Lepisosteus oculatus: one gene and its partners. The protein of the gene in region 1 purifies or fractionates together with the protein of each later gene. This does not show direct contact. Links are inferred from orthologs where the notes say so. Each region holds a gene or a part of one and is shown in the gene's direction. Other genes may lie near its edges. The genes, in order: F-actin-capping protein subunit alpha-2, twf1b, microtubule cross-linking factor 1 and svila.

The links.
Region 2: the proteins of F-actin-capping protein subunit alpha-2 (region 1) and twf1b purify together in Homo sapiens (affinity purification with mass spectrometry; 3 studies listed by BioGRID and IntAct, with this or other methods). This does not show direct contact. The link is inferred for Lepisosteus oculatus from reciprocal best matches to the Homo sapiens genes CAPZA2 and TWF1.
Region 3: the proteins of F-actin-capping protein subunit alpha-2 (region 1) and microtubule cross-linking factor 1 purify together in Homo sapiens (affinity purification with mass spectrometry; 3 studies listed by BioGRID and IntAct, counting the BioPlex papers as one, with this or other methods). This does not show direct contact. The link is inferred for Lepisosteus oculatus from reciprocal best matches to the Homo sapiens genes CAPZA2 and MTCL1.
Region 4: the proteins of F-actin-capping protein subunit alpha-2 (region 1) and svila purify together in Homo sapiens (affinity purification with mass spectrometry; 3 studies listed by BioGRID and IntAct, counting the BioPlex papers as one, with this or other methods). This does not show direct contact. The link is inferred for Lepisosteus oculatus from reciprocal best matches to the Homo sapiens genes CAPZA2 and SVIL.

The regions. Positions count from the first base shown.
Region 1 is NC_090702.1:45,303,344-45,310,687, forward strand, and holds the start of F-actin-capping protein subunit alpha-2, read left to right. Parts: upstream 1-4,338; 5' UTR 4,339-4,405; coding exon 4,406-4,444; intron 4,445-7,344. UniProt on the Homo sapiens protein: F-actin-capping proteins bind in a Ca(2+)-independent manner to the fast growing ends of actin filaments (barbed end) thereby blocking the exchange of subunits at these ends.
Region 2 is NC_090702.1:29,639,933-29,647,955, forward strand, and holds the start of twf1b (twinfilin-1), read left to right. Parts: upstream 1-5,000; 5' UTR 5,001-5,274; coding exon 5,275-5,299; intron 5,300-6,489; coding exon 6,490-6,567; intron 6,568-7,362; coding exon 7,363-7,541; intron 7,542-8,023. UniProt on the Homo sapiens protein: Actin-binding protein involved in motile and morphological processes. Inhibits actin polymerization, likely by sequestering G-actin. By capping the barbed ends of filaments, it also regulates motility.
Region 3 is NC_090701.1:56,253,159-56,260,271, forward strand, and holds the start of microtubule cross-linking factor 1, read left to right. Parts: upstream 1-4,113; 5' UTR 4,114-4,758; coding exon 4,759-5,688; intron 5,689-7,113. UniProt on the Homo sapiens protein: Microtubule-associated factor involved in the late phase of epithelial polarization and microtubule dynamics regulation.
Region 4 is NC_090701.1:39,896,160-39,903,483, reverse strand, and holds the start of svila (supervillin a), read left to right. Parts: upstream 1-4,306; 5' UTR 4,307-4,438; coding exon 4,439-4,496; intron 4,497-7,324.

The DNA.
Region 1 (7,344 bases):
ACTGTGCCTCGAATATATTGAGTAACCAATAAAATTATTGATCGGAATAGGGATTTTTTTTTTGGTCTACAAAAATGACCCCACACTTTTAACAAGAGTCATCAGGTTCTGGTTTCATCCAGAGCACTTTCAAGCAGATGAGCTGGACAGGTGAAACTTTACTTTCATTGTTGTCTTTTTTTTTTGTATTTGTAATTGTTTTATATAAATAATGTTGGTGAACACTCTATTTTTTCATTTCCACACAGGTATGAAATTTTAGCATAATGAATTATTTTTTTATATTAATGATAATGATAATGAAGATGTTAGGCAGACACTACTATCCAAGGGGAAAACAACATGAATGAATACAACTTTTAACATAATTCCAGTTCATAAAGAATCAAAAATAGCACACGCTGTATGTGTACAAAGAATAGCAAATTCAAAAAACTGCAAATGGTTTTGTAATTATCAAAAAAATTGGACACACTGTAAGACCATATAGAATCAGGTTAATTACTATTACAACAAAATCTAAGGATTACATTGTGTAGAGGAGGAATCTAAGACACATCTGTTTTTTTTATTCAATATTCCTTGATTCCCATTTGTGAAGTGTTTCTCTTTTAGTACACTAAACAGTTGAGTTGGTTTGCAAATGGCATTTCTTTTTAATAGTTTTTACAGCAGTGCACCTGTTCACATTTATTTACAGCTGAAGACCATCCTGTCTTAAACTAAGACCTGCCTTTGCCATTTGTAAATTTTTGGAACAAAGGTTACATTCAAGGCATGCAGTGATTCATTTGCTTAACATTGCTTTTGTACCTAATCACTTGGCATATTTCTCAAATCAGCGTCCTTTACCGTCATACCTTCCATATTAGTCAACATGATCTATTGCGCGCCAAGATGATAATGTACAAACCCTGAGGTGTGAGTTTCATAAGGTCTGTTCGAACATATATGTACTCTCAGTGTAGTGTAAAAGTGTACTGACTAACATTACTGTAAAGTATTTTTGTTGTAATTTAAAATTTAAACATTTTATTTACAGCTAAATGTTTTCCTTGAAACGCCAACGTCCCGTTTTTTTACGCTGCGTCGACGCCCTCTTGTGGCCCGGAGTCGTTTCTACAACTAAAACCGTGAACTTTTCTCGCTTCATAAAATAGCACGTGGTGGCACATTTTTTTAAGTAAAAGCGTAATGTATAAAATGATCTATGAATTGTATGATATTAACATTTTAACATTTAGTTTGCAGGAAATTGGTATTCCATACGTTATTTTTTATTTAAGATTTAATTACTATAACCATTTTCGCTATATAAGGGTAAGCAATAATAATAATAATTTTATTATTATTATTATTATTATTATTATTATTATTATTATTATTATTATTATTATTGCACCTTATCGCCGACTAAAATTTCACAAAGGGGGCGGAATAAAGTGTAGTATATAGTGTGCTTTCGTTTTGAATCCTCAAACCTGCAAACTTGCATTCACAGCAAACCCTCAAAATAGCTGTATCAGAGAAGTCTGTGAAACATATGACAGTTTAATTCACATTAAACAACTGAAAACTAGTTTTATAAAAGGTTTTATTTATTTAAGGATGGTATATATGATTTTCTTTTTGAGGTAATGCATACTGCAATACTGTACATCATTATTTATGGTTTTTAATATGAAATTTCATAGACTCAAGGCCTGATTGTACAGACAAATTTGATATACATGCGTGTGTAGGTAGAATTGGAAACAACTACAGAACCTCAATCTTAAAAAAATCAGACTTGTAAGTTAAGAAAATGGATGGAATAGGAAAAAAATCTGAATTCAAGAGACGATATACAGTAAGACACAATGCATAAAAGCTATTTCCTGTGTACGTCACAGACAAATTGTCGGTTTGTGATCTTCAGAAGTCTACTTGCCTGTGGGACTCAGAAAAGGAAACCACTGCTAATAAAGACAGAAAGAGCATTACTTCTACATATACATATAAGAACATCGGAATGTTTACATCTGGTCCATTGGGAAGTTGGTAGCTTATTGATCTAAAGCTGTCAAGTGGCTGTTTCTTGAAGGAAACTAAAATATTGGCTTCAACCACGTGGCTTTGAGCAAGGGAACAAAATGGGCTGTCTTCAAGAATGAGTCAACTACAAGTAAAACAACACGGAACAACCAAGAATTGAGAAAGTCCTATAGTGTAATCTGCAGATATAGATGACCAGGGATATTAAGGAGTGTGCAATGGTGGTAGAGTACTGGCAGGAAGAGATCTAGGATACTTAGCATGGTTGCCGACAAAGCATGATGGTGCTACACAAGGATCAGTATATTTTTCTCATCCCTTCTAAATTTGTATCCCCTTTACGTAATGCGCATGCGCTCCACAAACTTTCCAGGATAACTTGATGATACAGGCTGCTCGTGCATGTTTGTGCCTTTGCTTATTACGATATGGATAAAAAGGACCCCGTTGTTTGTGCACTTACATGGGTTTCTCTGTGTATTTAATGCGTTTTCTAAGGATTACGGTAATGTAAAAATGCACAAAAAATACCGCTGTCACGTGAATGAAAGCTCAAATTAATAATAATAATAATAATAATAATAATTGCTTACACTTATATAGGGCTTTTCTGGACACTCCACTCAAAGTGCTTTACAGGTAATGGGAACTCCCCTCTACCACTACCAGTGTGCAGCATCCACCTGGATGATGTGACGGCACACCAGCTATGAGTTACGAAGCCAGATCATGGATGGGGATTATTAGGAGGCCATGATTGGTAAAAGCCAATGGGAAATTTGGCCAGGACGCCGGGGTCAAACCACTATTCTTTTCGAGAAACACCCTGGTATTTTTGATGACCACAGAGAGTCAGGACCTCAATTTTATGTCTCATCTGAAGGACGGGGTCTTTTTACAGTATAGTGTCCCTGTCACTATACTGGGGCATTAGGACCCACATAGACCACAGGGTGAGCACCCCCTGCTGGCCCCATGAACACCTCTTCCAGCAGCAACCTTAGTTTTTCTCTAGAGGTCTCCCATCCAGGTACTGTCCAGGCTTACACCTGCTGAGCTTCGGTAGGTTGCGGGAACCCAAAAGAAAGCACACAAAGGCTATATGCATCTTTTGCCCTTATGTGTTACATTTACTGTAAATCATTTTATATGTAGAAGATGAGAAAAATCATACGCCCCTGAGATGTCACATATGCATGACGTAGGGGGATGCAGATTTCCAGGGGATACTGAATTGGATACGACACCTGTCACGTACAGTAATACCTTCCGAGCTCAATTCGCAAGTTGATTACGTACAGTAGCTTCGTCGCTTTGTCTGTTTCAGGCGTATCCTGTTTGATATTTCGGATTTTGCGATTTGTCCAAATCATTTCACACAAAACCATAACCAGTAAAAGACTAAACCCGCAGCCTCATTTAAATATAGCACGCTTTGCTTATTTACATTGAGCAAAATAATTTTACACAAAAAGTTAACTAACAATTGTTCTTTCAAAATGCTGAAATGCTCAAATTGTCTTTATTTTTTCGATGAATGACTGAATGTTGAGATGGCGTTTAGTGTTTTATCACAGGACATTATTTTTTAGCTTTGATTGAAACACACGATACATTCGGACTTTTAGAATGAACATAGTTACAACACGTTTATTAACAATAACCCTTTAACTAGACTAGTTTAAAACAACCTAGCTAAGAGCTCTACACCAATGTTTACGATACGAGACGAACCAGGTAAAAAAAAAGTCAATACAAATAATATACTTAACACAACAGAAGGTGGCAGTGTTAACAAGCAACCGAGTGTTCGGCAGAACAGATCTAATCGGATATCTGAAAACCTCATCAGATAATAAGCGCTGGGTTTCGGCTCAGTCTACAGATTGCTGCCGTCTTTGGCAGTGGTAAATTAAAAAGACTTGCGCCAATGTGTTAAATTGCTCTTGGGAGGTGCAGTTTGAAAGGCACAACATTTTAAGATTGAAGTGTGATAAATTAAATACATACACATATATAAATTGAGGAATTGATTCCGACTAGTGAAACATTTGTCTACTATTTTGATGGGGTCAATAACGAACAAATAATACACTTATTTAGTGCTGATTAACACGTAAGCTATCGGGACCTCTCGTTTTATCAGCACCTTTAGCGTTGCAGAAAGGTTACTAAATGTTTGCCGGGTTATATTATAATCCACCGATCCAGGGAGACCAGAATCATGACCGGCTGTGCCGCCGCTCGCAGCTAGTCGCGCGCCTTGTGCACACTCTCCAGCTCCGTACGCAGTGCGCGAGCCTCGTGTGGGAATCCTCCCTTCTGATGACGTCAGGGTGAGCTTCAGTGAACCGTCGTGCCGGAAGGAAAGATGGCGGATCATGAGGAGCAGTTATCTGATGAGGAGAAGGTAGGAGATGCGGAATGTCTTTTGTTGGTTGCAGGGCTTAGGACAGAGAGTGATGCAGGATTTAATAGTCTTTAACTCCGATCTTGTTTATACATAGGGGCTCAGGTAAAGTATAGCGTTGTTCATCTTTACAAGTAGCGACAGGCCGCTGGGTTCAGGCTTGCACTAGTCTATTATTTTTAGCTCAGCAGTCCCTGCCCAACTTCCGTTTCTGTCTGCGAATCTCAAACGGGGACTCCTTGTACGGTCCGATCGCAAAAATAGGAATGGGTTTCCATATAGTTGCTCCAGTTCCTAAAGCGGTAGTATGCATTGTTATCCTTCTGTCATACAATTTGCGTTTATGTCTGACCTGTTTTTCTGTGATCATTTCGCACACACAGGATATGTATTTACTAGTACACGCCCTGTTGCCATTGGCGCTGCTTGCTTATTACTGCTCGAGTTTGCACAATAAGAACCAGAGCCGGGAGGAATAAGCCCCATACTGTGCTGCAGGTTTTCCAATTGCAGTGTTGCTGTTGAAGTTAGTAAGGACGCTCTCCGCGGTGCAGCTGTACGGGCCCTCAGGAAAGCTTAGCAGCCTCTAGGGTACTAGAAAGGGTGCTGCGAAATAATGGTTCGCAAACTAAAAAAAAAACTTGTAGTAAGGTAAATGGTACAGAGGTAACTGCCGGATTATACTTGCGGAGTTGTGTAACTTCCCATCCCCTCAATTTACAAGAAATGATGCGGTGAATGTGTTGTGATAGCATCCATTTAATTAGGGTACTGGAAGCGGAGTTCGCTATATTTCGCTCTTGCAGTGTGGTTCTTGGATTGTAAATGCATTTAACGCGGCCTGGTTATTTATTGTGAAATGTGGGCAGCTATAAAGCAGACTTCTCTACTTTGTTTGTAGCAGTCAGTGATGTATCATTCGAAATAAACTAGATTATATTGGCCTGCTTCACCAGTAGGATTGTAAATGCAAGATGACAAGTTCTTAGCTGTTCAGCAGTGTATTGTAAAAACAAGAATCCATCTGACTGTTAAAAGGTGTAATAAATGTAATAAATGTAGAATAAACAACATGTTTAAGAATCCTGGCAGTGACTGAGTTGTCAGGTCTTCATTTGGAGTTGCCCTTAACAGAACTAAAAAGCCATTTAGTTCCCATAAAGAATTTGAATTGTCTGGTATGAATGTATAGTCACAGTATGAGACAAGACTAAACAGGTTTCAAGGAATTTAGTACCTTTTTGTTTTGGGCTCTGAGCATCACATGCACCTCCCCTTATCAGAAAAGTCTTTATGACACTGAGTATTATTTAGGGATTAACCAACACTGCTAGTATCCTGAAATAAAAACAGTGAGTGAATTTGCTGAATAAACATTTAAGATCCCCTGAAGAAATTCACTGGGTCGACTTTGTCAGTGCTTTTGAGGCTGTCAGTGTTAGACCTCAGAATGCATTTGGCTGCCCGTCTCTGTCCAACTCTGTCCATCTCTATTAATATTAATCGAAATCTAATCTAAAGGAACACTACTCTGTGCACATTAAAATCAATTACTCAAATTGCATTGCTGTGCATTAAAGCTGTATATGATAACCAGTTTTTTTCTGTAAAATCACCCAAGCTGTTGATTTGTACTATTTATGGCTTTTCACCAAGAAATTGATGCAGCTTGTATAATGCTGTAACACTTCTAGATTTATACTTGTGCTAAGGTTACTTAAGACTAGTTAGAAATACTGCAGTCTTTCGAATAGAACACATCAGAGAGGCAAAAGTGCTTTGCTGTAAGTTTTTAAAAGACTGTATTTTATATTATGCATGAGAATTAAATATAAATTCTTGATCATATTGTATCACTGTTTTAGTGCACAGTACAGTCTCCCTCATTACCTAGTACATCTGTGTTGTAAGATTTTATTTGTAAAGATTAAGATTACTAATATGACATCAAGAGTTTTAAACCCAGCTGTGGAGACCAGTAACGTTCATGGAGTGAAATTAATCTACATTAAGTTGCTGACTAATGAACAAGCACACTTGGTTTTTTAGCCTTTTAGTTGTTTATGTTTTGTTTTTTTCTGTGGGGTGATTGAAAGTCAAACTGAAATGAGTGATGCCTAAAAATTAGAAGGATAGTTCATTGGTGACTGAAGTTTTTTTTTTGTCAAAAGCCAACAGTTTTATTATTTGTATCTTGTGCACTTAGGGGTTTATGTCTTGGCATTGACATTTTGTTGAGTTCACAATCCTTCAGTGCAGCAATGTCACTTCAGCAACAACAAATACCACACATTAGTGACCTGAAAACATTTGGGACTCTTCAGTATGGAAATGAAAGGTAAAATATTCGACAGAAATGTAACAGTCACCACAGTGATGATAATTTCCCACTAAAAACATTCGCTAAAGCTAAATCATTCACTTAATAGCATGATATAACTGACTACAGTGGTGGTGAACTGTTTGGCAGATTATAGTACTTTTTCTCTGAAGGAATTACTGTGACTATTTGTGTTTTATCCTTTGTAAACTATGCCCAAACATTTTTGAATGCCATGTTAAGGGTACCTTTCCATATTTCATAACATTCTGCTGTTGAATAACAGGAATAAGAGATGGAAAAACACAACTCCACGGATCCACCCTTGGTGTAACTGGGTCATCAAGAATGTCAATAGCTGTGTTGTCTCAGTGCCGTGTGAAATTAATTCGAGTCACATAATGCAATTCTGCACATAGTCTAATTGAACACAAGCTGTACCTAATTTAACTTGAATGGCCTCATCATGCCTTTGTGTTAACCAGATAAACTAGTTGAAATTCAAAGAAAATGTGTGCAGAAAGATTCTGTCCTTTAAAAAAAATGTAATGTTCTTACATGCTAAAACTGATTAGGATAT
Region 2 (8,023 bases), about 16 Mb from region 1:
GCATTGGTACAGAAAATATCTCCTGTATCAAGTATTAGATGTTATTACTTCACCACACAAGTGGTTGGACATTTAGCCTTGGATTATTACAATAATCACTAACATAATGGCTAGGAAACAATATTTATATTTTTTAGAAAAATAATGGGATAAATATGTCATTAAAATTCAATTATAGTTTTCCTTAACTTTTTTTCTTAGTTTCAAGTGTATAATTTTGTATATGTTTTGTATTCACAGCTGAAGAAATAATGTCCTGTTTTGATAATAAAATAGTAGACATTGTCTATTAAACTAAATACTGTATGCTTTTTCCAAGGGAATATCTGCTGTCCATTTGAATAAAAACTGGTGAACACCAGCAGATCCCATATTAGCTTTAAAAGGACACAGCTGACCCTGCAGTCAGAAACTAAACATCACACAGTAAACATATAGTAGATTTCTTTAAATATTAGCCAAATATAGCAAATATTAGCAAGATACAAATGTCAAACATACTATACAAGACATGCAAAGTCGAAAATAAAGATTCATAATTTCAGGAAAGCAGAAATGGAATGGGATACAAATGTGAAATGAGAAAGGACAGCAACAGTTTAAAAATATTCTGCTTGAAACACGGAAACAAAACACATTCCAAAAGCAAGCAAATCACATGCAAAACAGTTGTCCAAATGGTTAAATAAATCAAATAAGAAAAAATATAAAGTGAAACAAAGCACTTTAAGAATGATTCAAGTACAGTTAGTTCAAGTAAAAACGGGTATTAGAAAGAGAGAAAATTCTACTGAAATAGAAGACAGGTAATATGTTTTCAATATGACCACAACAAAACACTAGTTAACCATGAAGTAATGTCTCTCAGGCATAAAAATTGAAAACATTTAGAAAATAAAAGGATGATGGCTTCTGTATTAAATATTTCACTACACTTTTTATCATGGGAGAAATCAACTGCATGCTTCAGGGTGAGGAAAGGTGGAGCTTTAGATTATATACTTTTAGCACAGAAAATACATGAGAGTTACAGGTACCAGAAGCACTTACTGTAAGATGAACACAGTTTTAGGGATGTTGTTCATAGGTCATTAGTAAAACTATTCCAACTGTGACAAAACTAACCCAAGTAATTGTAGACCAATAACCCTTACTTCCAATGTAAAATGGCAGTTGTATGGTAATAGACATCTGAGTCTGAACTACTGCTCTTCCTAATTTATATCATTAATCTAGACTCTGAAATAGCAATAGTAGTACAGTATAGTTAAAAGCATAGATTTTTAAGCAAAGGGTAATATGTTACACTTGTATGACTTCATTTAGAATATTTTTACAATTCTGATACAAAAACGATTGTTGTCCTTGAATTTCATTGTAGAGGAGCAACAAAATACATTCCCGGCCTAAAAGGAATATCCAACTTTGACAGTTTAAATGAACATAAAATTAAATTAACAAACCTAAACAACTGGATTCATACCAAATTACTATAAAAGGATGTGTAGCTCTCACTTAATCCCAGTTCTTTTCTTAACAATCTTAACTCATTTGTGCATTACCCTTGTCTATCTGTGAATATGAAGTTAATCCATAATGAACACAGTATCTTAGATTCTTAACACATATCTCTTGATAGTTAAATATGTCAAGAAACAATATTTTTAACATACCAAATATTGCACACATAGTTTAACTAATTGCACGATTGGTTAAATAAATGATATATCAATAATGTAACAATAACTATTACTATTATTATTTTATGTATAGTAAGAGGGGTAAATAACAGTTTCTCTAAATCCCTCACATTATTTTTCTGTCCTTGGTCCACCTTAAGAAATGCTCTTTAGCTCAAGTGGCCAATAAAAATAGACAAACAGCTGACTAGCATTACAGGAAATGCATTTTCATTTTTTCAATCCAGCATACAACAGAAGTTTCTCGTTTCTAACAATTTCTGGGTCTTAAGGAAATTAAAAATATATTGTCAAGTGTTTAAAAGATTATTCCACATTAACACATGCAAAATGTAATAGCACTAATTTGTCACTTCTCTGTGTCCTAGGAATGAAGTCAGTCTTCCCTGCTCCTGACAGTGCTTTGTTTTATTATATTACCAAGGCAACAGCTGCTGGAATTGTCAAATTTTAAGGCTGAAGTCTATTTGATAACTGTCTGGCTGCAGGCTGGAGAAAGATTGTTCAGTGAATAACATATTTACATACTGAATACACCAACTTACCACACCACTTCTTCCTTCTTCAGGCTGTGCTCCGGGGACAAGAAGCCAGATCCCACTCGGCTTTTGGCAGCATCATCATGCTCACTGAGCTGACAACATTAGAATTATTCTACTAGCAAGAGGAAATCATGTCTTGCAGTGTCACTAGACTGGCCATGTGACCTGTCTCTTTCTATGGCAGTCACACTCCCAAATCCATTAGCTTTGTAGTTGTTTTACAAGCAGCAGTGAGAAGGCAGAAAAGGCACTGCTTCGTCAGCATGGCTGGGTGTTCAGCTGTTCTGTGTCAGGGAAATGCAGAGCTGAAAAATGCACTCCCCACAGCACATACTATCAGCATCCAGTAGTGCAACAAACATGCTGGGTCATCCTGATGAAAATAATGTTTCTTCCAAGTGTATCTATGAAGGTAAGACAAAAGACAGATAGGGACCATTTTGAACATGGAGATGCAGCTCCATTACTTAGTTTTATTCATTTGAATCCTTAAATACTTATAAGTACCACCACAGACTTTTGCTTCTCTTGTGATATGTTTTCTTCTTTTTCTTTATAATATTTTGAATAAGATAGAATATTTTTTAAACTGGTTGAAAACAATAAGCATCAAACTATGAATTGCAATATTTGATATTTTAAAGCTATAGTTTGTTGATACTTCCTGATTTATTTTGCACACAATTTGTCTAAAGTTGAAAATCAAGCAGTGAAATACGTGTCATGAATAATTGTCAGAACGCGGATATGAAAGTAGTCTTGAAACTCAAATATGTACAGTATACAGTATAAAGAAATCCTCCTTTAAAAAACTCTAGAATGAAAGAGTATTTTTCTGTTTGTATTTTATTGACATTTTTAGGAACCTAATTAAATCAGTCAATATACTGTACTGTATACAAAATTAAGAAAGAAACTTACTTTAAACATAAAAACATTGAAGTTTTTATGTACAGTAAAGACACTTTGGAATTCTTCAAGTGCAAACTGCTTATCTCATACTAAACAAATTGCTCAGAAGTAGAATCAAGCTCTTAAGATTTTAAATAGTTCAAAATAATCAGTAACCTTTTCAGAAATATTATATTTCAGTATTAATATCATTCATGTTCAAACAGAATGTCAGCAATACTGTGATCTACCAAAAGGTATTTTTTAAATATGCTTCTAGATGAGGAATACTGTATCTATAAATAAATCTCTGTAATAGCCTAAAAACATTTTGAACTACCATAGATTATGGACCAAATTTAATTAATCTTTTCTTCTGAAAAGTGGTTAGCCAGATAATTCACTCAGCGGAAGATATTATTGGAATCTTATAATCAAATACACAGTAAAAGATAAATATATCTGCAGCACCCTGCAAACCTCAAGGGATTATTGCTGTTGTCCTTTCAAAACCTACTTAAGCAATCCTTTTTCCTGTTGACAGTATTTAAAAATTATATTTATAATGTGTTGGTGATTGTTCATGGAGTGAAGTTTAACATATATTTTCTGGAATATAGCATTGAAAGAAAAAAAACTTCTGCATATGATCTCATAAACACCAGCTAAATGAGTAAAAGTTAAAAAGTTAAAACACTTGAAATTGTATTTCTGAATGGAATTTGCATTTCACCTCACAGATACATTTCTGTGTCAGTATGCACTGTATGTGTATATATACTGTAGCTGGCTTTGCAAAGCAATACTGTTCCTACTATGAATCATGTTTTGGCACATTCTCCAACAACGTTATTCACGACATTATATATTTAGTGTTATAACTTATGAGCATTGCTTGACAGAATTGTACCTATTTCAAAATAATATTTCTTCCACGTTTACTAATTTCACTACAACAAGAGGTCGATTAGATTTCTACTGAATTACAACAATTTAATCCACAGTGTATGAATTGTTATTTCTTTATAAATAAATTTAGGAATGTAGTAACGCTGGATGTACAACTGTGTCCATCATATTTTAACTTGTTTTACTGTTTTATTAGTTTTCCCATTGATTTGATAATGCATCACACTTTGCAAGTAACGACACGTTTCTGCAAGTACCCTACAGCCGACGATGACACAGCGAGAACAAACTGCCTATACCTTATAACAAGATTGGTGCCAGCTTAAAAAATGTGCTAGTTTTACCATCCCCTGGTCATTGATATCCCATAATGCAGTACAATATCTCTAGGTACAGATACGTAGTGACAAGAGCATGCGCAATTCTTGTTAAGAATAAGAGCCTCTAGCGGTTGTTAGAAAATGTTTTACTGGCCTTGTATAACAGGTGCTTAGTGCAGCTTTTATCTCACACTAATTTGTGAAAATAGATGGAATTTGAGGTATTCGGTACTTACTCTAACATTTTTTTTTCCTGGAAGTTATCATGTTGAATATTTGAACTGAGGCAATACAATATTTAACTTATAAAGTTAGTTGCATCAATATGAATGGATCAAATTAAATTTACAGCAAATTGGAATGATCCGCAAAAAACTAGACTTCCGTGTATAATGCATTTTTACACAAAAAATCAAGGAGTTAAAGACTAATGGCTTTATGTTCTTGCATTTCTTCAGGCGGTGTTGTTTTCCCTTCAGACGTGTGTCCATATGTTAATTCGACGTGACTTTTCAATACGAGATAATTCCGAAATCCAATCATTTGAAATTTTACATAAACCTTTAATTTTGAGTGAAATTTTACATTTTTATTGCATGCTGTGCATACTTATGGAAACATTCACATTGCGTAGTGTTTGCTTTAATAGATATGTGATACGGAATTACAGGTTTTATGGAAGGTTCGAACAGCTAACATATCCAGACATTAACAAGCTCATGCATGCCCTAGCTAGACGAACAGCTCTGAACTTCCACCTCTTCTGAGCCCAGTGTTGGCCACGTGACTTTGGAGTCTCTGCTGCTGCCGGTGACGTCAAGTCGAAGCCGGTGTAGAATTGCTGTGTAGTTCAGTTTCTTCTTCCTTGTTCTTTCGCTTCTAATCAGCCGGTCGACTTCAGAGAAACAAATAATGTCCCATCAAACTGGCATTCAAGGTAAATTATTTTAAATCTGTGTCTAATCTCTTATCTTGTTAAAAAAACATAATCGTGGTTAAAAAGAGGAAGAAGTTCAGTTACGATGTAATCAATACCGCTTTAGATTAAATGGAAGTTCTTGTTGGATAGCCTGTTGTATCTCTTTGCAAAGGAGAATAATATAACTAATTGTATTATTTTGTCTGTTGAGTTAGAATGAAAAAAAACGTACGTGAAATGAAACATGCTTGGTGATCTGCTATACGTGTGTTGTGGTTGCTCCATTAGTACTGCCTAGAACAAAGGTCTTGTGCAAATGAAGTATCCACAGCACCTTCAGTAGAAAGCAGCTATGGTGAGACAACGCCTACAGAGGAATTTAGAAGGATATGACTGGGTCCTGGCCTTGCCAACAAACCGATGAGACAGACAGACTTACTTTTTCCCCCCACAAGTGTATCAGTTCCTCCCTTAAAAACCAAAACGTTTATGATTTTTATAGTGGGTCAGGAAATAAGTATGGAAAGGGGATTCTATACAGATCTCTTACTGTCGTGTCAATACAATAAAAGAAAATCACTTGTTTTATTTAGAAAACTAGGGTATTTGACTGTTGACTACATTATTTACCAGAAACAAAATCAATTAAATACTCTAATGCTAATGCATTTGTGTGCTTAATCAGGATGTTTGTGTAAAGCACATTCATAATTCTTATAAGGACAGATGCATGAAATGTTAATGAAAATTCATTGGCTTAAGTTTTTTTTGAGCACTTTGGATGCGCTCTTATGCCTTTATTATAAGTACTGGTAGACATACATCTCTTGCAACACACTGTTCCTGTCTCTTTACAGACAGTTCTCATGAGACTGTAGTTTTGTCTTCTGCCCTTGATTTTCCTCTTGTAAGATTGTTGTTCCAAAAATAAAGTTTATTTTGTTTCTTCATAAATTAAAATTAGTTTTGAGCTTAATTTGAAAATCCTTTAATTAAATTCAGTACTAAAACCTGATTGAGGGGCAAGGGAGCTGTCCACTCTTTCATTTGCCAGTATTGTTGAATTGTGACATCAGCAGTTCATTTTATTCTGCAATGTTTAAGTGTCATGCATTTATGTACATAAAAACAATGTGTACTTAACGTGTATAGTATGCTTCAATTAGTAGCTAGACGTGTAGTTTAATAATGTTAAAATTTTGTTTCAGCTGCTGAAGAAGTGAAAGACATTTTTGCAAATGCCAGAAATGGGAACTATCGGCTCCTCAAGATTGTGATCGAGAATGGTCAGTTCTAACTCTATGTAAAGTATGGAATTATAATTTACTTGTGATTTCTGTTATGATATGTAATACAAATGCCAGCCTTTTCCCTTTTAGGACAACTGCATCAGTGATAATGTAAAAAAATATTATTCAGAAGAAAAAGTTAAAACCAAGACAACCAGTAAGTTAAAATTAATAAAACACGAAATCCCCAGTTACGATAGCACAAAGTCAAGAACTAAAAAAGGCTTTTATGTCATAACTGAATCAAATGAAAACATGTTTCTTCACTGAATGTTTTTATGGTTTCTCATTACCTGGCATATTCATACATTTGATAGCGTCAAATTAGAAGTGAAAGATAAAATGCTTAGCCGTGTACAAGTAACTAGTTTTCTTTCAGCATGTTATATTGTTGCATCTATTAGTATGTAAAAGTGTATTAAATATGTAGAAAAAAAACACCCATATCCAGATCAGTGAATGTGGATAATAATGGGACTTGAAATTAGGTTTGATCAAGAAAATTTTAGACACTTTGTGACTTTTTTAACTGCACTTCCCTATTTTGCAGTGCTAAAAACCTGCTTTCTTCATTAAAAAAGTTTCCAAAATGTATGGCAAAAAATAGGATACACATGTGTAAATACAGTACACAAAATTGAATTATTTTTAATAAATACAATCCAATATGTATTTCTTTTTATTTAAAAAAATATGTGAAATAACAGGATATAGACCCATATAATCAAAGGCATCAGTGTAGTTATATTCTTAATAATTAAGACTCATGCATGTTCAATCTTTTTATTTCAGAAGAGCTGGTAGTCGGCAGCACCAAACAAGCTGTGAAGACCTGGGACAAAGAATATGATTTGTATGTTCTTCCTTTATTAGAGGATGACCAGCCATCATATATCCTCTACAGGTTGGACTCACAAAATGCTCAGGGATTTGAGTGGATTTTTCTAGCCTGGTCACCAGATCATTCACCTGTAAGCTATCCAATATACGGTAACGATATCCCAAAAAATGAAAGAATTGTTATTTTTTCATTGTACGTTACAGACTCGAACCTGTGTTTAAGGATTTAATGTTGCTTTGCAAGAACTGAATATGGTACCAGAAAACTGCAGCTTTGTTCTACTGATGTTTCACAGTATTCACAAGTATTAGAAGACCCAGTACAGTCCACTTTTCCTGGCTAAGGCCATGGCTACTGATTATTAAAAATGAAATATAGATTCAGTACAGAATTAACAAAGTGTCTTATCTGTATAATGGGGTTGTGCTTGTCGCAGCTGCATGTGTGCACCTATGACTCCTGCTGGCCATACTCAACACTGTGTCTCTACTGAACTGTCGTGTGACCCTTTTGATTGTCTCCTGTCCACAAGAATGCTCAGTATTTAAAATCTTATTTTGCAATGGAAGCAAACACTCACTCAGTTCTTCAAAGATATTTGAGATCTGAACT
Region 3 (7,113 bases), on another chromosome or scaffold:
CAGGTTTTGTTGGCATGTTCTAAGATGTTTTTGAGGTATTTATAACTTGTGGCATTCTTTAACTAATGAAGTGCAAATAAAATTTTATATTTATTACTCAGCATTTAATGTTGGAACGTTTAATTTATTCTACGTGAAATGTACAAAATTAGATGTACAAGGGTCACCCAGTGTGTAATGCACCACATTTTATAAGGAACGAATTCTCACAGGACAATGCTGTCAGACTGAACTTTTCTGCTTTGTTGCTACTTTCTTGGTGATCCTCTTTTCAATTGAAATGTTAGTCTGAAATGCCGGTAAGTCGCCACCAGGTGGCACTCTAATTCTGGAATATAAGATGTGTCTCGGCTCCTCTTGCCCAGAGGATGGCAAATTTATGCCAGATTCCATGCCAAGGTTCGGTGCTCCTGCTAATCCTCAGTTATTGAAGTGATTTTCACTTTGCTTGAGTAAAATGAAAAAAAAAGTGGAATTAAAAGGATCAGTTCTGTACTGAATGTTTTGGAACAAGGGCCAAAGTCCTGTAATGGCTAGGAATCCAGGTGCCAGAGCAGAGAAGGCCCAATCGAGCCCACGGAGACGTTGTTTATGAACACAGCTCTGTTGATAAAGAGCCCGTACAAGCTTCAAGTGTCCACTAATAAGATCTCTTTATACTTCATTTACAGGAAAATGCAGTATTCATAGGTTTTTCCCTGCTTTTCAAACATGTAATTTTCTGTTTTTTTCTTAAGCGATGTGTGTGTGTGTGTGTAGGGGTGGCACAGTAGCGCACTGGTGAGCCCTCCTCCCTCACGGCTGCTGGGGCCCCGGGTTCGAGTCCAGACCTGGGGTGCTGTCTGTGTGGGGGTTTGTATGTTCTCTCCGTGTTTGTGTGTGTTTTCTCTGGGTGCTCCAGTTTGCTGCCATAGACCAAAGACATACTGGTAGGTTCACGGGCTTCTGGGTGAACTGGTCCGGGTGTGAGTGTGTGCGGATTTGTGTCAGTGTATCTGTCTGCCCTGCGGTGGACTGGTGTCCTGCCCCGGGTGTACCCTGCCTTGCGCCTGTTGCTTGCTGGGATAGGCTCTGGCTCCCCCAGGACCCTGAATTGTAACTGTTAGAAAATGGCTGGATATACTGAAGTTGTGAAAGACAGCATTTCACAGCTGGGGACTCGCTTTAACACTTGCCCATAGATATTGATTTGGACACTGTCCTGAAAAGCTTTCATGGTCAGATTCTAAGTTGAAAGCCTAGGGGAAAATCAAGGATTTTATCAGGTTTTCTCACATTTTTGCTGTTTCTAAATGGACGTCATAGAAGGTAATATTAGGATTGGGGTGTGGGGGGAGCACTATGATCAACTCGAAATGGTATATGTAGCTGGTCAAGTGGTGAATGGGCTAGTAACCACAATGAACCTGAGATTCATGGATAACAGATTTGGCAAACCTTTTCGTATACAACCGTTGTAGTCTGAAAATACAGGTATTATTTTAACAAATGATCTGCTGTCTCTTTAGTGGCCTGCATTATCTCTTGAGCCAGACCTCTTTAATGCACCTGGAAAAGCAATTGATCATCTCCAGCAACACCTGCGATATTAGACAGGCAGGGCACTATCTTGAGAATGAGTGCTGCCAGCTGTGCATTTCACAGTGGTCAATGTTTTCAATTGATCTGGTCAGAAATTCAATAAGTTGACTCCTTCCTGTTACTAGTTTTTGTTGCATCAGTTCCGTTTTACACAGTTTTGCTGTGTTAATGAACCAAATGGTTCATTTACGGTCTCATTTTAATATTTACGGAGGGGATCATACATTCGTTTGATTCCTAGCACCTTCCCTTTGCTGACTGAAAGTCCTGGCATGAAGATAACATGCCTTAGCTCAGTGTATTCAGCATCAGACTTTGCTACAGCTAGCAGCATGTATTGTGTGGTAATCAGTCTTTATTTGTATGTATGGTGTTAGTTCACATGCAAGCCTCAGTAATACATTTTACAGGGTGAACATAGTGATGCCAAAAAGAAACGCAAGATTTTCTTGAATACTATAGTTATAGTTAATGTACTTTCACAAAAAGTGATAAATTTGTTTTAAGCAGTACAGCTGGTGCAGTGGGGCATTGCAACCTGCCAATCACAGGAAAGCTCATTAGGTGCACTTTTACCCAACGAGGTGCAGGTGGAGCAATGCCTGATCAGGTCACCTTTAAAAAGGCCTCAATTCAAAGCTTAGGTCACTGCGAGAAGAAGCCCACACTTAGTCAGTTTTCTGTGCAGTCCATAATGCCTCAGATGGCACCAGAAGCAAGGGAGAGGGCCACTGGCATGCTGCAGGCAGGCCTGTCATGTGCCAGCGTTGCCAGACGCTATGGAGTGAGCCGCTCCACTGTGTCCCGACTGCAGAGAAGGCTTCAGCAGACCGGCAGGACAGATGACCGCCCAAGATCCGGTTGCCCTCGAGTGACCACACCAGAGCAGGACCGACACATCAGACTGGTCCATCTGAGAGATCGTTTCAGATCTGCCACCCGTACTGCGGCTGAACCTGCCAGCAGACACAATGCCCGCATCAGTGACCGGACAGTGAGGCTCCATGCTGCTGGCCTTAGAGCAAGGCGACCTGTCAGAGGCCCTCTGCTCACAGCTCCTAGACCTCACACCCAGCTGGCTTGGGCCAGACAGAGGCTGCGATGGACTCGTCAGCAGTGGCATCAGGTCCTCTTCACAGATGAGTCCCTCTTCAGCCTGTTCCACCCAGACGGGAGGGCCAGAGTGTGGAGGAGGAGGTGTTGCGTTTCTTTTTTCCATCAGTATGTATACAACAACCCTTAAAGTACTGCTTACACAATTTAGTAGACACTCTACAGTATAGAATTTAACAACACACTTAACTGAAGACAGAGTAGCAAGTGTGAAGCTGTAGGAGCAGTACGCTTGTAGGACATCAGTGCCTAATGGGGAAAACGTGATTGTAAAAATCATACAGCTGCTCACACTTGTGTAGCTGTCAGTAACATGAAATGGTCAGATATGTAGGCAGCTGCAAAATGTTCGTAAACGCACTGACTGAAAACAATCTCTTTTAGACAGCTGTTTGTGCCCTAAGGATGCCAAAGCTCTTTATGTGTGGTGCAGCCATGTGCCAGCAGCCCGACTAGAAATGGGAGAATCAAGGAGAAGTTCCAGGTAGGTCAGGCTGTTCAAGCCCAGAGGAATTTAACCAGGACGCTGGGCACCACACCCCAACTCTAATGAAATGTCACGGGACCTTGTCTGATGCCTGGTCTGAGTGATGGTACCCACTACTGTACACTGTACCTAATCACAATACTCGGGAATTTGTTTTGAAAGCTGTGGTCCAAAGGGAAGAGTTACCCCCAACACCTCTTACTTCAGCAGCCTGGTTTTCCTTATAAGTCCTCTTTGCCCAGTACTGACTGGACTCATCCATGCTTAGCTCCTGAGAGATGACAAGATCTGGCGGGCTACGGTCTGGTCATTCTGCTGCTTAAAAGGACCGCAAATGTAGGGTCTAATGGAAAAATTATTTTTTTTAAATAAGAGAAATATGTATGACGAACACCATCCATCCCCGTAAGTCTTAATTTTTTTCAATACTAATGTATAGTGTAAGGAATATTTAAAGCTTCTTTTGTATGTATCCTTATTTTCTGTTTGTAAATATAATGTGAGATGGAGCCCAATAAACAAGTTCCTTGTGACCTCCACACATCTTCGAGGGATACCATCTGTTAATGGCTTTATACCGTGCTTGTGTTCCAGGGATGTAGTGCTTTTTTATACACGAATGCCTACACATATAAGGTGTCAAATCTGAGGTGTCCTGCGTGACTTAAAAAAACAAATCCACGCAACAGTTTAGATTTTATATTGATATTGCAAAGTTAACAACAGTGGGTGTAAAGGCTAGATTGGGCGGTGCCTTTATTATTCCTGTAAGTCTAGGTTAATGCCTTTTTTCCCCCCAGTTCCTGAATAAGAAATTCTCAATCCATGCGGAAACAAAGTGGACAAAGCCTCAGACTCCGTTCTGAAGCTTACGGGCTAAGGCTTTTAGTGCATTAGCGCTTTAATGCCACCCGCAGACACAGCTGCCAGAGAGCGGTCGTGAGTAAGGACGCAGACAGCTCTATGGACTTCCCATTCATTGCCCGTAAGACAAATCTCCTCGGACTTAAAAATAAGAGAGAGGGCGGGGGGGTGAGAATTGATGGTGAAAAAAGCAGGCGCATGCGCTCGCCGGAAAGGCACAAGCGTCAGAGACGGACCGCAGCAGCGCTTGCAGATCTTGCATGTCAGACCGGAGCGGAGAGGGGTGGACGGCTGAGGAAACTGTCCGAGGGGTGGGGGGGACGAGGTAACAGAATGGGGGTTCGGGGGGATCGCTGTCTTGCATCACGGCTGCACATGAATTAAACCCGGACAGAAGACAAACCCGTGGCCCGGCAGGTGGGGGTGACTCGCGTCATTTCGATTGGAAATTCAGGGTTGTTTTTTTTTTTATCCTTGCTGCATTTTCTTTAAACTGGTTCAAGGAGAGTAAAGGGAGGATGAAGAAAGGGGGTGCTTGTACTCGACAGAGGTAATCCATCGCGGGGATGTGAACGCCTGACAAGGTGCGCACCAATCCGAAGTGATGAAATCGGAAAAACAGGACGGTATTGCCGAAGTGATCTGCAAGGGTTATTTGTGTGGGCAGAGGACGGGTCGTTTCTTTCATCACCATTCCTTACACGCGTCTGCGGATGATGGAGAGTTTAAATGGCACCAATAACGAGAGCAAGCCGCAAAACCACCAGTTAGTGGAGAAGAAAAGACTGAACAGAGCGCCTTCCCCTGCGAGACCATTCCTGAAGGATATACACTCCCGGTCGTCTGCCAAACCCCCGGCCATCCCTCCCAAATCTCCCAACCTCTCGAGCAAGCAGCAGCAGCAGCAGCAGCAATCAACAGGGCTCCTGGCATCTCAAAACCGCCTGTCCAGGCGCAGCATCTCCGGCGCCAAAGACAAACCGGCTCCGGCAAAGAGTGCCGCCAAGACCGCGGTACCCAAAAAGGCAGCTAAGACCATCCAACACGGGACGACAGAGCCGAAACTCGCCGGCCACAGCTCCGGTAAAGGGAAAAAAGAGAAAAGATGCGCCGTGGCGGAGGCTCCCCGGGGTTCACCTGGCCAGAGCTCTTCGGTCGGCGCCCCAGGAGGAGCCGGGCTGGGGAGGAGCAGCCATACGGACAGCAGCTCGGACCTGTCCGACTGCCCCTCGGAGCCCCTGTCGGATGAGCAGAGGCTCACCCAGGCGGGCAGCAGCGATGCGGAGTCCGGCTCCGGCTCCGGCTCCGGGTCCAGCGACCGCGACCCAGGGTCTGGCGATCACCAGCCTGTCGGGGCGGCCGCCGCCGCGACCTACGGGAGGGCTCACAGCCTCCCCCAGCTCGGGGAGCCCCCGGCCTCGGTGTCCCAGATACCCGCTAAAGAGAGGGTGTCCTACCCGCTACCTGCTCCAGGACAGTGCGGCGACACGGAACCGCCGGGAAGGAGCCCCGGCAAACTGGACTTTAGACCGGGCCACCCGAACACCCCCACAGAATTCATGCTGCGGGGCAGCAAGGGGTTGATAGAAGAGGACCTGCTGAGGGAGGTCGAGGACCTGCGTTCCGAAAATGACTATCTCAAGGTAAATGCGAATGCGTTGGAATGGATCCCTTCAGCACCGCGTTTGTGTGTCACTGTTTTTAACACACCTGCTCACTGAGGAAGGCATTCGTCGACACTAACCGTTCGCCAAAAAAAATAAATAAATAGCGGTACCACAACTGACGCATGTGCCAAACACGAGACATAGTGTAAACCTGTACATGAATAAGTTCTGTGGTCCGTGTAAGCGCGTATAATAATATAGGCCTTATCGTCTTTACGCGTTAAAACTGGGCAGCAATCAAGTTCTTTACATGTTCTTTTTTGTTTCCTTTTTTTTGTCAGCCTGGATAGTTACGCATTATTGTAACTAGGGGTGACTAAGAAGATGCTGTTTTGCGTTTTCCTCTGCGAGCACTACAGCACTGTTATTACAGTATATTAGCACACTGTGTACTGGATGTGTGGTTGGTGTTCAGAAAAAGCCAAGGCTATGCAATGCGTTGCGCTGCAGCGAGAGTGCAATTACTAGGCTCTGCTTAGGGACATCTGCTTTTCTATTGGTTTTAACCCTTTTGGCGCATAACACAGAATTGTTGCTTTCTTTTTCCGTCTCAAGAGCGCAGTGAAGCCTACACCAAACTCAGTTCAATTCACTTTACTCTTCGTGTTGTCTTTCCCCCCCAATGGCAGCCTGTAATAACTGAATTCCCTAATTACTTGAGCACTGATTGTTACTAGTTTGTCATTATTGTTGCCATCACAGTATCCCAGTTCGTTTTGTTCACTTACAGTATTTACGGACCTTTAAATACTCGTAACACCTCGAAACTCTAAATAGACTCGCATGCGCTTCGCTGCTTTCCGTAATTGGTCTGGAAAGCGACTACATACAGTACACAGATGTTAATACTATTTCGATCATATGTATAGAACCGAGGCGATAATCCAACCTTGTAGCCTTTTACATTAGCGAGTGACTCCAGAGATTTAAAATTGATATTTTTGCCACCACACCGCGATCGCATTTTATGTACGCCCCGGCACTGCAAGAAAACACGTTTTTTTATGCAGCTAGTGAACAGCTATGGGCGTATAGCGTCTCACAAGCATCTTGTAAGATATTTCATGCGGACATCACAGGTGACACCAAAAGCGTGCTGAAATGCTGGCTCCTCTGTAGAGACGAAAAGAAACGTCGCTCGGAGACGTTGAGGTGGCGAATCAAGCTATGGTGTATTGTATATATATATTTTAGTAGCTACATTTAGCCGGAATTATAGAGATATATAGCTCTCAAATGACTTTTTCAAACGCTTACATTTTTAACCAGAATCTGTATAAACCGTTTATTGTACCAGAAGGCTACTCTGTATTTAGTTAAAAATGCTGCAGGCTAGCTTCCCTTCCACATGACCAAATACAAATGAACCAGCTCCGACATGAAGCTGTGTAGCGCGTATGT
Region 4 (7,324 bases), on another chromosome or scaffold:
ATTTCCCTTCGTATGAAGGTAGTAGGACATGGATGCTTTTATAGCTGCTGACAAGGGTTATGCATGCACGCCGTCTGCCAGAAGGTACAGGGTCACAGGGAGCTAGCATGCTGTTTGCTTGCAGAGGTAAACAGTATACGACCTCTCAGTCAGCCAGTCAAGTTGCATGTTGCCTTATTAGGGTAGGCTGCTGGGAACGGAGGCTAGGGACAGTCTCTGCCGGTTTGCAGCTAATGGAGCTGGAACCTTACAGTTCTGCACCCCTGAGAGGTATCCCACTACTGGCACTGTTTGCAAAGCAGTCCCAGAATATGCAACTCTCAAGGCCTTCTCTCTAATGGCAGCTAAGATATTGCCATCTGCCCTTTGTGCTGTATTTTTCTTTGGCGTTGGTTATGTTTTAAGTTAATCTGACTAGAAGTGGCAAACTAATTGTGACTGTAGGGTGCACTGTGCTTTCCTTTATCAACAGCTGGACAGGCTTCATCTGGGTTCGTGTATTCGACATTCTGTCATCACTTCATAGACCAAGACCTATGCAGGTCTTTGCAGGGAAGTGCTTTCTCCGTTCAGAAAACAGTTTTGTTTTGAGAAGGTTTCTCTTCTGTTCTCAAGTCTGTTTCAGCGATTTTTTAATTTCAGTTTCTAGTATGCAAATGTACATTTTTCAGAACCTTTTTAAATTCTTAAGCAAATTTTAGTATTTTCTTAAACCAGTGAAAATGCATTGGTTTAAGTACAGTAAGGCTATTTTAAAAGGGCTTGAGTTAAGCCATTGTTGTACTGTGTATATATATATACACACTGTATACATACACACATCTTCTAAATACTTCCAATTCATGGGCAGAGCTAGAGCCTACCTGGCAATTAACAGGCACAGGACAGGGTATACCCCAGACAGGGCTTCAGTCCATCGCAGGGCGGATGTGTAATGTGGTACATTTCCAACTTAAAAGACGATTGCCACAAGAAATGGCCACAAGATCTACAGTAGCAAAGACTCTTCAAAACTGAAGTTGTTCATTGCCCCACTGAAAATTTTAAATCATTTTTGTTGAAGAGCATTCTTAGCTTTCTTTGTTAGGTTGGAGTTCTTGGTTTTCAACAGTGGCAACCTTGCCTTTCCAAACCTGCCCTTTGAAGGAGCCTGTGTTTTGTGTAAAACATTATTGATTTTATGCTTTGTGTGCACAATTCCCACCACACAACAGTGTATCACCACTTATCCCCTCAGTTTTGTTCTGTCCTGTTAGTAAATGGTACACGATGAAAGCACTCAGTATTGATTATCAGTGCCTGCCTTGTCTTGAGACCATTTAGTTGTGCGCAAGAGAACAGACCCTTGTGCAAATAAGAAGCCGTGTGCTTTTCTCTACTTTGATCAGGAAACACATTCTAAAATGACTGAAGGTATTTTCCACACATCCTATCCAACACTGATTGTTCGCAGCAGGCTGTGCATTTTGTTTCCTTGTTGCAAAAAACGATGGCAGTTTGTTGTGAAATAGTTGTCCTTAAAAAGGAGTTTGACATTTAATTTCAGAGTGTATGTTTCTAATTTTAACAATTGTTGTTTTTAAATACCAACATGATGTAATTGTCAAAATGTTTCTCATTCTGTTTTGAGGTGCCTTTACAATTGTGATGTAGTCACAATCTACTATGTATATTTTACAAAGCCTGTGATCTTTGTTATTAGCCAAGCTTGTAATATTTGCAAATTTATCATTTTCAGCATTTTTACTGTCGTCCTGAAGAGAGGATCTAACTCATATTGACATACTGGGTATTTTATTAATAAGTTTGCTATTCATATTTTTGCTAGTGTAATGAAGAATGTACAGACTGAAAATTATATTTCCCAGAATATTTTTCTACGTTATTATTAGTAAATGGTACAGCCAGGAATCTGGTTGGTCAACCCCTTTCTTGAAAGTTTGAGTGCCTTTTGCTTAAAAAAAGTAAATGCCAGAATTTTTCCCCCACTGAACCTTGTGGAATAATTCTAATATTTTCTGCAGAACAATTGCTTTAAATGGAATGTATTGAATGCACTTTCCTAGAAGTGCTGGTCATGGTCATTTGATTGTATTACATTTTAGATAGCGAGTTACTGGATGTGGCACTTTTCTTTATGCAAGTAGTTGTTTTTCCCCCCCCCATGTTGTTTGAGCCACAGTTTTGCTTTATGGTAGTTTTCAGACTAATCAACCCTGCTCTAGAAGTTGAGTCCAAGTTGCTGTGCAATGACAGATTTTTAGATCTTTATTCTCTTTCAACAGTGCAATTGGAGTTATATATATTGTGGTAAGATTAGTATGATTTTCCTCTGGAGAGATTCTTACAATAGGTGGAATTCTCTTCCCGAGACCCCACCTCCCTCCTGTGCCATTCCTACGTGGAATACCAGTATTGATTGTAGCTACAGTGCTAAGAGATTGGCATAACAGTGTAGTGGTCTGGAATTCTGGGTTCCCAGACGGTGTTGTGTGTTCTTCATTGGGTTAACAGGCACTTGTGACAGATGATGTACTGCAGGTCTCTACTGTATCTAAAACAGACTTGAAAATTGTCATAGCTCACGCTAATCTGGGTTTACCCAAAATAGTGTTCTGTTGAGAGCCTGCTAGCCCATGTTTTAACTTGTTTTTGACATTTCAGATGTTGCTTTTTTATGTATGTGAAGATACCATTTCTTAAAGTCTTCTTTTAAGATTGCTAGACCTATTAGTTAATGCAAATGACTCGGTAAGATGGAAAATCCTATAGAGGTAATTGTAGATCCCCCCCTCAGATGTGAGCTGGCAGCGAATCTGTGTCTATGGATGCATGGCCTAGATTAGATCACAGCAGAAGTGATTTCTAAGCCTGTCACTTCTAATAAGTTCCATCAGTGTCTACTTGACCTTGTTTGACGTCGGTGAGTCAAACACTATGCCATTTTTCTAGCGAGGATGGCAAATTATACTGTACATTCTTTTCTGTTTTGTCAATATACACTTGCAGTTTAGACCCTAATACATGTATGTTACGTTTCAAATAGATTTGTTTGTCCTAGCAGTAAATCTGTAGGAGCATGTTCTATTGTGAAAAGTGTAACTCTCAGCTTTTATCATATGGAGTTCGACATGTTTGGACAAGCTGACCTTATCCCTGTCTGTGCACAGTTACTGTAGTTGTCATACCCCACTTTCCTTGTGAGGAAGCATTTCTAACCAAGTGGGTCATGAACTGTTCTCCATGGGGCTCTAATTGGGAGAGGGCCTGCACATTCGATTCTCGGATCAGTTTAACAGTAGTTGCATCTCGCAAGTTGAACGTACTGTAGCTGGGCACTCACCCACAGCTATCATTGTGGACTTGCATGTTCTTATAAGTACTGTATATATTTTTATAACTTACTAATCCAGGTGCACCATAAACTGTGGAAAAGCTCGTAGAAAAACCTGCTTCAAAATGAACCACTTAGCACTAACTTTCCAAGTAGTAGTTTACATTCAACCTATGAAAAGGTTGAGTAATTTAGGAATATTGTCTTGTTTCCAACTAAATTAGGGGCATAGTTTAGATAATCACTTATTACGATACAAGAAAAAAGGTCCTGGTAAAAAGTATATCATTAAAGCTTTTCTTTTTAGGGAAAGACCAGTTTCTTTTATTGTTTGTTCATTCTCTTCAAAAGCCAAAGTCATTCCAAGTAAATTTATTAAATACAGTAGCTACCTTCAGTTGTGAATCTGAGGGATCTGAAAGATGGTCAACGAGCACGGCTTGTATTGGAATATCTCGGACTATTAAGAGGGTCCATTGCTTTCTTTTCAGTTTTACTCACATGTTGTCCATAAATCAAGACTTTTAACGGTGTGCTTTTTTGGCTTCTCCTGGGGTAGGCAAAGTATTTAGCATAATGATACGATTAGTCAGAGCCCAGTCCTCTGGCAGCCTGGGAGCTGATTTCGCGTTCTCTCTGAGCACTCCTTGCACTTTCTGATTACTTAGAGATGAGTGGAATTTCTTGTCCATTAGAGGAGATTGTTTCTCTTCTTTATTTGAGGAGCTGTGCCTCCGTTGCGCTGCGGTACTGTACCTCATCCAAGGGAGCAGATGTTGTGACTTTTTGGCCACAGACTTGCGGCAGTTTTGGCGATTCAGGCTCTTGAACGCCCTCATCAAATCTGTTTTAACATTTTCCTGTGCCTAATTTTCGCCTGTAATCTGATTACCAGCCTGAGCTGCTTTAGCATGCAGCCTATTGCGATGCATGCACTGTATTCCCTAAGCCCATCGATAGCTTGACAGCTTCAGTCTGTTCAGGACTGCTAGTAGGAATCTCTACACACTGCCTTGTAGGCAGGCCTTGTGCTGCATCTACACTGGTTGAGGAATAGCTGCCACCTCTTTTCCTGTTGTTGGCATTTTCTCCCTTATTGCAACAATGTTCAGGAACCCCTGGATCTCTAATTACGTCGGCGCTATGAAGTATTGTGGACAAGGTAAGTGACCTGATAGTATGCTATTCTGAAATGCAGTGTTTCCAGTGTCCTTGCATTATGTAGTCTGAAATTCCGAGGACGCAGTTGAAAGGTAATGAATGAAATAGAGGGATAAGGATTTTCATCTGTGAGTTTAAAATGCAAAACAATTAATGATTAATTCAAAGAGTCAAAAGGATGTTGTCTACAATAGCAGCTTTGATATGTGCATCGAGTTTTTATTTTTACTAGCGTTTCAACGTGCTTGGTATTTACAACAGGTGTCAGCATACTTCATGCACATTTAATAAAAACAACCGCAATGTAATTCTCAAGCTTAATTCATCGGTGGAAGTCCACCAAAAAATGTAATTTCAGTATATGGTAATGGCTTGCCTAAATGAGATGAATCACTTTATAATGTTTTTATTTGCCACTGGATTTTTTTTTTCCTGGCAGCTCTATGGGAAATTTTTGCCTTATTCTCAAGATAGGTTTTGAATGTGTAATACTAAGAAATACAGCGTTTTGCTTTGGAGCAATTACTGTAAATTCGTTTAAATTCTAACTGCAGAACATCCTTCTTTAGGATATTTTTAGAATTTTCTATTTCTGGGAGCTAGGCATTTGGATAATCATCCTCCTATCACCTAGCTTATTGACTATAAAGAATTCAGACATGTTCAGCATCTGTCTGCAAGTAACTCTCCCTTTATATTGGTTAAAATCTACTGCAGCTGAATTGTTTACTTCTAGGTTGTTGTGGCATCTGTTCCTGTGTACATTTGGTGAGGGAGTTTTTTTTTTAAATAATGAAAATGCGTATTTGGTTATCCTTTGAAAACAACAATTAGACTGTTTTATAGACTTCTTCAGTGTTACTTAAACAATTGTTTTGCATTGAATATTTAGCCTTTGATAATTGCATATGAACATGATTTTATGCTAAATATTTGCAATTTAGTTTTTGTCAGACCTGAAAAATTTGTTTACTTTCCTCAATTAGCACATTACTGAAAAGAATAAGGAAATGATCTATTCTTTAATGTGCATCGTGTCCTGTTACATCACATTTTTAGAACAGGACAATTAAATTGTATAATAGGAGCTAGATTTTATGCGGCCTTCTAATTTGACGGTTCTTAAACCTTAAAATACTACATACTGTGTAGGCATTAAACATAGGATTTATGCCTACTTCCGTTACTCTTGTGAGTTTATAGAATATCCTAAGAGCTCCTAGAAAGCGTTATATACGCAATTCAATTTTTCCGTTTCAGCTACGTCAGTAAATTAGACACAAACATAATTTGTGTGCATATACTGTAAAGGTATAATTTCCACTGTAGATTATGTAGTGAGATATTTGGAGATGACATTTTCAGTTAATTTAAGGCACCCTATACAAAATATTAGCACCTCTTAACACTGGAATCTTTCACCCTACTGTAAGTAATTATGAGGCACATAAGAGAAAACCCAGTATAATTCATAAAACGTGAAGGACAGCATGCTTTTTGTAACCTGCAGCTGATGGGGATGATTCCAATGGTGTTTTTTCACATTGGAATACCTATTACTGTAGTTTTACGTTCCCTAGTTGGAATGTTTAATGTATATAAAAAGTCTGTTCGAGTCTTAGAAATTTCTTGCATGCCTTTAGCACTGCTATAAATTTTACTGAGGCCTGTGTCTGATTAGGCCCTCTTTCAATTCCCCTTATGTTGCACAGGCCCATAACCAAAAAAATATTCCCTGAGGAACATGATTCTTGTATGCACATGCAGTTTATTTTAATGTTGTGAACTAAAAATAATTTTGCTTGAAGATGCAACAACATGGAAATTTCTATAGTATATTGAAAATGGAAATATTAGTATATTATGAAAATGTCATTTCTAAAACATTTTCTGATTTGTCAGGTACTGTATGAACCATAACATCAAAACAGTATTAAATAAAATGTCAGTTACTTTAATGTCCTCAATGTTCTTTATAGTTGTCTGTCAATTAGAATTGCTTTATCAGCTGTTGAGCTGAATTCTGAGAGGGATTTCTTTCGAATGAGCAATGTTTTTGGAGGATATTCCTTGCAGCTGAAATAACACTATATATGAAAATATATCCAGATGAGCATTTTATAAAAGAGGTTTCTGACTTTTAGTGAAGACGCGATATGAACAGCACTAATATCTATACTGAACATTTTAAATGAATGTCTTCTGTTTTTGTGACTGCTGATGTTCCCTAAGATGAATTGGTAATCTTGTGAACTGAGGTGTATTCAGAAGTGGAAACACCCGTTCATAAGGAAAATAAATTAAGCAGATGACTAACTTTTAGTCTACCTTTTATACGTCAGTAGAAACCACACTGAGCTCTGATAATGGCTAATGTTACAGTATGTTAGGCAACCAACTGGTATTAGTTTGCCAAACTTCTCAAACCAGATCCTTGCCTCTGCTTGTTGAACGGTTTGGTTAATTTTACTTTAAGCGAGTTCTTGTTTTTTGCTGGCTTCACAGCAGTGGAAATAAAAACATTCTTCAACTCTGGATAAACCCAGACATTCCTTCAGATAAACACTGGTTACTCACTTCTCAGTATATTGCAAACTGTTGAATATACAATGGCTAGAATTAAGACAAATCCTACAATGCAGTCTTGAGAATGGATTTTTACAGCTATTAGAAATATCTGCCTCTTGAAATCGGTGAATACACCTACATATAGAGTACACTGTATTAGCATTACATGAGCTTTATATTAAATTGAAAATTCAATAAAAACATTTGGTTGCCACAAATCAATGGTGAAAAACAATACAATAGCTTTCCGGTCTCTTATAA